2 linked regions of the Sus scrofa genome follow. The protein of the gene in region 1 interacts with the protein of each later gene in a pairwise test. Links are inferred from orthologs where the notes say so. Each region holds a gene or a part of one and is shown in the gene's direction. Other genes may lie near its edges. The genes, in order: NIPBL and MAU2.

What was found.
Region 2: the proteins of NIPBL (region 1) and MAU2 interact in binary tests that used the Homo sapiens proteins (3 or more experiments, as listed by UniProt). The link is inferred for Sus scrofa from reciprocal best matches to the Homo sapiens genes NIPBL and MAU2.

Annotation. Positions count from the first base shown.
Region 1 is NC_010458.4:22,358,410-22,361,804, forward strand, and holds part of NIPBL (nipped-B-like protein), read left to right. Parts: intron 1-2,303; coding exon 2,304-2,478; intron 2,479-3,395. UniProt on the Homo sapiens protein: Plays an important role in the loading of the cohesin complex on to DNA. Forms a heterodimeric complex (also known as cohesin loading complex) with MAU2/SCC4 which mediates the loading of the cohesin complex onto chromatin.
Region 2 is NC_010444.4:58,546,650-58,550,469, reverse strand, and holds part of MAU2 (MAU2 chromatid cohesion factor homolog), read left to right. Parts: intron 1-335; coding exon 336-439; intron 440-1,042; coding exon 1,043-1,120; intron 1,121-1,738; coding exon 1,739-1,804; intron 1,805-3,090; coding exon 3,091-3,177; intron 3,178-3,820. UniProt on the Homo sapiens protein: Plays an important role in the loading of the cohesin complex on to DNA. Forms a heterodimeric complex (also known as cohesin loading complex) with NIPBL/SCC2 which mediates the loading of the cohesin complex onto chromatin.

The DNA of each region.
Region 1 (3,395 bases):
AACACTTTATTCTTTTCAAATAATAAACAAATATAAAACCCCCCTTTTTTTTTTTTTTTTTTTTGGTCTTTTGTCTTTTTAGGGCATACCCGCAGCACATGAGGGTTCCCAGGCTAGGGGTCAAATCAGAGCTGTAGCTGCTGACCTACACCACAGCCACAGCAATGCCAGATTTGAGCCACATCTGCGACCTATACCACAGCTCATGGCAACACCAGATCCTTAACCCACTGAGCAAGGGCAGGGATCGAACCCGCAACCTCATGGTTCCTAGTCGGTTTTGTTAACCACTGAGCCACAATGGGAACTCCTGAAACCCATTTTTGATTGCATGCTGAATATTAAAAATCCTGCTATTTAAAAAAGGAGTTTGTTCCTTTTTATTGCTATATAGCATTTTGTTGTATAATATGACATACTACTGTCCAATCTGTTATTGGGGAAAAACCGTATTCTCTAACTGAAGATATGCATTATAAATTAAAAGCCTTATTGTGTTGATTTCCTTTAAAAGGTATTAGAGAGTTAGGCTAATCTTAAAATAGATTGCAAATTTAAGTTTTTAAAGAGCAATGAATGAAGAAAAGGTGCAGACCAGCTAGACTGAGTTCTAACAGAACCCAGTAATCTTTAATATGCTCTAGGAGATAGAAAAGTACTAATAAATTGAGAATGCCTTATAAATTTTACCCACCAGTAGTCACTATAGGTATCTCTTTTCTCCCTGTACCTATGGAATTTTGAACATTTTTCACATTCATTGAAACCTTCTGAAGTCAAGTGTTCATAGGGATGATAGTGCAATGAGTAAAGTAGACCTGATAGAAGATCAGTGGCAAAATGGAAAGAACATGTTGCATCCAGAGGGTTCAGATGTTACTCAGATGTTCATCAGTTTGTTCCCATGAAAGAGTGGGTACAGTGTGGCCAGAGTTTCCATCTTTTCAAGAGAAGCTGGATAATCTAGATTTTCATGAGAAGTGACGATGTTAAATGTTGGCAACTACAGGCATACCTTGTTTAATTGCACTTTGCAGATATTGAGTGTTTTTTAAAAATTGAAATTTTGAGCAAAGTGTTGGGCAAGTCTAACGTCACCATTTTTCCAACAGCATTTGTTCACTTTGTGCCACTGTGTCACATTTTGGTAATTCTTAAAATATTTAAATGTTTTTCACTACTATTAAATTTTTTATGCTGGTCTGTGATCCTGATCTTTGTTGCTATTGCAAAAAGATTACAATTCACTGAAGGCTCAGATGATAGCTTTTTTTGTTGTTGTTGTCTTTTTGCCATTTCTTGGGCCGCTCCTGCGGCATATGGAGGTTCCCAGGCTAGGGGTCGAATCGGAGCTGTAGCTGCCAGCCTGCGCCAGAGCCACAGCAACGCAGGATCCGAGCCGCGTCTGCGACCTACACCACAGCTCACGGCAACACCGGATCATTAACCCACTGAGCAAGGGCAGGGATCGAACCCACACCGTCATGGTTCCTAGTTGGATTCGTTAACCACTGCGCCACGACAGGAACTCCCAGATGATAGCATTTTTTTAGCAGTAACTTTTTTTTTAGTTAACCTGTGTGTTGTTTCCAGACATAATGCTATTGCACACTTAATAGACTAGTATAGTGTAAATGTAAATAATTTTTATACACACTGGGAAACCAAAAAATTTGTGTGATTTGTTTTATTGTGGTATTTGCTTTATTGCAATGATCTGGAACCAAATGCACAATGTCTCCAAGGTATGCCTGTAATTCAGAATGATTTAAAACATTGTTAAGTCTTGGGGAAGTACTAAGGAGTTGGAAAGATTTTGAAACAGTTGTTAAGACTGTGAAACAGGTTTGTAAACCGTCACTCTGGCTGCTGTACAGAGAATGAATAGTTGGGGCACAAAAAAGTGAAACAAGGTAAATCAGTTAGGTAGTATTGAGAAAGTATATTAAAACTGTCCCACATGGAATTACCGCTCTGGCATAGTGGGATTGGCGGTGTCTCTGGAGCACTGAGACGCAGATTCGATCCCTGGCCTGGCACAGTGGGTTAAGGATACAGCCGCAGCTGTAGTGTTGGTTGCAAGTGTGGCTCGGATCTGATGCGTTTTTTTTTTTTAAACCTTTGTTTTTATGTATTTGCTTTCCTTTTTTTAATTACACTTAATGTTATATATACAGTTTCACTGGTTGAAATCTAAATGATAGAAAGTTTAATTATAAGTAAATAAAATTTAACTGGAATCAATTTTAATGTAAGTACCTGGGAAAAAATGTTAAATTAATGATTTTATTTTCCCAAAACAGTAAAATTCAGAAATACTCTCCATCTGAATCTGCAAAAGTGTATGATAAGGCGATAAACCGAAAAACAGGAGTTCATTTTCATCCCAAACAAACACTGGACTTCCTGCGGAGTGATATGGCTAATTCCAAAATCACTGAAGATGTGAAGAGGAGTATAGTAAAACAGTATCTAGATGTAAGTAGTAAAACTGAAAAATGTTTCCTTCTGATAATAGCATTTGTAAAGTAAATTCTTTTGAGAGAAATAGCTACCTCCTTTACATTGAAGGTAAGCTTTATGAACCATTAATTTTATCTCTATAGTTCTAATGAGTTACTTTGAGCTTGCCTTTCCCATTTCACGCACTGCCCCATCATTGTTTTTTCTTAGGAAATGCCAGCCTACCAATAACTTTATTTTAGTGAAAAGTTTTTTGTTTTTGTAGCTTATGGCAAAGACAGAAACTTAACCCACTGAATAAGACCCCTCATCGTCACAGACACCACATTGGGTTCTTCTTTTTTTTTTTTGGCCACTCCACAACATATGGAATTCCTGGGCCAGGGATCAGATCTGAGCCACAGTTGCAACCTGTGCCACAGCTGCAGCAACATTGAATCCTTAACCCTCTGTGCTGGGCTAGGGATTGAACCTGCATCCCAGAGCTCCAGAGATGAGAACTCCAGTAAGCTGCGTTGGGAACTCCATATTTTAGCTAAAAGTTTTTAGGCAAGTTTTAGGGAAAAGCTATGCCCATATATGTGTTTGCTTGTTTTTTTTTAACATAGTGGATTACATGGTTTGTACTTCATAAAAGAAAAAACCATGATAAGTCATCCTTCTACCCTCTTCAGCCATGAGGACACTGGTTTGATCTCTGGCCTCACTCAGTGGGTTAAGGATCCGGTGTTGCTGTGAACTGTGGTGTAGGGCTGCAGACTAAAATCCCACGTTGCTGTGGCTGTGGCGAAGGCCAGCAGCTACAGCTCCAGTTCTACTCCTAGCCTTCCATATGCTGCAGGCATGGCCCTAAAAAGATTTTTTTAAAAAATTAAAAATTAAAAAAAATAAAATGTCTTCTAGAATAGGCAAATTTAGAGAGCAAGAGAATA
Region 2 (3,820 bases), on another chromosome or scaffold:
CAGGGTGGAGTGCGGATGGAAGACGAATCCCTCCAGGAATGTCTTACTCTTAGAATAATACCCTGGTCACCAAAGCCTGGCTGTGAGCCTGTTTCCTCACCTGGACAGGGAGATGAACCCTTTTGTTTGAGGGTCCCATTGGAACTGAGTAAAGTGACAGACTGGATGCTGGGCCAGCGCCTAGCAGAGCAAGTGCGCTCAGCCCCAGGTAGCTGAGGTGCCGGTGTGCAGGAGGGCTCGAAGGCCCAGGAGTCAGTCAGGACCCAAGGTCAGTGTCTCCTCAGTTGTCTCCTCAACCTGCATTTCAAGAGCTCACTCCTGCCTCTCTCCCCCAGTGCTCGACTGCAGCCCCATTCTGTCCTCCTTCCAAGTGATCCTGCTCGAGCACATCATCATGTGCAGACTCGTCACAGGACACAAGGCCACTGCCCTGCAGGAGGTAAGGCACTGGAGGCTGCACACACAGAATGGGAAGGCTGAGGGGTAGGGTGGTTTGAGTGTGCTGGGTTGTGGAGGGTGTCACACAGGAGAGTGTAAATGTGTCCGGTGTGTATCGGCAAGACATGTCTGTGTATGTCATTTGGCTTAACCTGGCAGTCCATAGCCCTGCCTGGACACAGTTGATCAGAGAATCTGATACAGATAAACTGTTTTTTCCCTGAAAGTTTGCATGCCCAAGGAACATGGGGTCTTGGGATTTAGAATCCTCTGATGACAATCCTAACACCCCCTCCTGTCCTGTAATTCATAATCCCCGATTGCCACCTTTTTGAAAGGGTGCTGGGCCTTGAGTAGGGTGAAGGTGCTGTATGGCTGAGACCCAAGTTGGAAAGGGAGGTGAAGACGGGTAACAGACTAGGGTCACTGGCCTCAAAGAGGTCAAGGCTGCACCTAATCCTCACAAGTGGGAACATCTGCTGGGACTTTGTGCCTTTGTGGGGTAAGGGCACACCCACCAGCTTTGGGTCTCTCCCCACTGCTGCCAGGACACTGGGTCCCACATTACAGACCCTGTGACATCAGACATTCTCTCTCCCGGCAGATCTCCCAGGTCTGTCAGCTGTGCCAGCAGTCCCCCCGGCTCTTCTCCAACCATGCAGCACAGCTGCATACACTGCTGGTGAGTGTGTGAGGGCTATCCATCCCTGGCCCCACCCCAGTGAGTAACCTCTGACCACTACCCCAGTCAGGATCTTGAATCCTTTCAGTGAATAACTGCATATCCATCACTCCACGCAAGATTTAGAATCTTCCTAGTGGGCCTCATTCTGTCAAGCATTTCATCAAGTCCAACTTGACTTTGGTCCCAGGAGGCAGGAATAATTAAACAGGCCATCTTCCTCCTAGTTTGTCAAGATAAAGCTTAGATATAGGGAGTTTCTGTTGTGGTGCAGTGGAAACAAATCTGACTAGTATCCATGAGGATGCAGGTTCAATCCCTGACCTTGCTCAGTGGGTCGGGGATCCAGCATTGCCATGAGCTGTGGTGTAGGTTGCAGACATGGTTTGGATCCTGTGTTGCTGTGGCTGTGGTGTAGGCCAGCAGCTATAGCTCTGATTCAACCCCTAGCCTGGGAACTTATATCCATGCGCCATAGGTGTGGCCCTGAAAAAAAAAAGTAAGCTTAGATATAGTTGGCTCAGTAGAGTCACCACTTGTCAGGCTCTTCTGGGTGCAGCCGTGCAGCTCTGGGCAAGCTGCGTGTGGCTCTGAGCCCTCAGCACCTTCTTTTTCCAGGGCCTGTATTGTGTCTCTGTCAACTGCATGGACAACGCAGAAGCCCAGTTCACCACAGCTTTGCGGGTAAGGTGCCGGCCCTCACTTTATGGGGCAGGCGGTGCTTCTCAGTAAGCAGTCGGGTATGGTCTGTGATGAGGACAACAGCCACACAAAACCATGGTCAGCAGGTGACTCCACAACTTTCAGCCTGACACCTGCTGTGACCGTGATGTACCATTTATGCAGGGCCTTCTTGGGCTACTCAGAGGCAGACGAGGCCAGCACTGGCAGCACAGCTTGATGAGCGAGGGTGTTTCTGGCCAGCTTGGGGCGGGGTTTCCTCAGCCAACTCAAGAGGGCAGCCATGGGGAAGCTGTTCAAGGCAGGCTCCAGCCGGTGCCATGGCCTGTTCAGCTGCTCTCACTCATGGTTCCCAGTCCTGTCACAGCTGCTTGGGACCTTGGTCAGCTGCTGCTGCTCACTGCAGTGTGTCAGGATCAGCCCACATTGCCCATGGCCCTATGAAGTTCTTCCCCATCCCACTTCCTATAAATGGCTGCTACTTTTTTGGTTCAACATCAGAATTCCCAATGAATGGTGTGTGCCCCAGGGAGTCCTTGCCACCAGCCTAGGAGGAAGATGGTGCAGCCAGGACTAGAGCCCAAACCCCGCTTCCCCCTGACCCCAAACATACTTTTTCTGTGGTCCTGGGATAAATATCTTGGAGTATTTTTGCTCTGGTCAGGAGACCCTCTGGACCTTCTTGACACCTTCCAGGGTCCTCCAGGTGTGGTCTGTGCTTCCTAGGCACCCTTGGCCTCTTGCACAGCTATGCTCTCTCAGCCCCACTGGGAAAGCTCAGCCCATCCAGGTTGGTCTCTCTTGTGGCCATTCTTGTTCCCCAGAAGTACTGGGGACAGTGGTCTGTCCACCATGAGCCGTCTAGCCTCTTAACAGCTTCAGCAGCCTTCCTGGCAGGGACCTGCCTCCCGCAGGACCAGCGTGTTCCTCTGCTGTATCAGCATATGCTGGGATCCTGGGGTCACTACCTGTCGTGTGGAGGGATGGGCCACCCATGTGTCAGTACTGAGACAGTAGAGAATAGCCCAAACAGTAATGTGTTCTGAGGGCAGGATCAAAGGAGGCTTTTTTTTTTTTTTTTCTTCCTCTGTTTCCTGAATTCTCCATAACATGGATGATGGTTTTATAATGAAAAGAACTAACAGTTTTTGTTGTTCCTGGATGTTGGAGGCAAGGTCTGTGTGTTTGGGATGAAAAGAGTAAAGACATGACTCTGATACCTCCAAGTAGCCTCTCTGACATGACTGTGCTGAGCTCAGCCCCCTACCACGTTTTGTCTCCCATTCTAGCTCACCAATCACCAGGAGCTGTGGGCCTTCATCGTGACCAACCTGGCGAGTGTGTATATACGGGAAGGAAATAGACACCAAGAGGTAGTAGGTGACATGCTTCATGTTTGGTATCCTTTCTTTCAACTCTTATTTGGAGGGGGGGGGTGGGGAGTATTGTCCTGGGCACCAGTAAATCTCAGTAACCCCAGGGTTCTTGCCTTCCAGCAAGGTGTCTCATGCAGTCAGAGCATAGTCATGGCTGGGGGAAGCTAAGTCTAAAACAGAAATGAACCCTTCTCCCTACTGAAAATGAGCCAAGTTTTGTTGGTTCCCTCAGAAACAACTTGGAGTTCCCACTGTGGTACAGTGCATTAATGGTCCAGCTTGTCTCTGTGGAGACGCCAGTTCAATCCCCAGCTGGACACAGTGCGTTAAGGATCCAGCATTGCTGCAGCTGTGGAGTAGTTCACAGCTCCAGCTCAGACTCATCCCTGTCCCAGGAACTTCCATATGCCTCAGGGCGATTGAAAGGGAAAAAACAACAATTTCTTCTACCTTGAGCTGTCTGTTCTAGAATGTCAGTGAGCCCTCGCAGCTCAGTTCTGAGGAACAACAGCTTGGACTGCCATCTGCATAGGCCCCTAGGTTGTTCTGGCGTCCTAGGCAGCTGGGGTGGAGAGATAGTCCAGAGCTTGCCCTCGCAGGATAAGTACCCTCCCACTAGCTTCCCCTTGCAGCACCTCCTCAT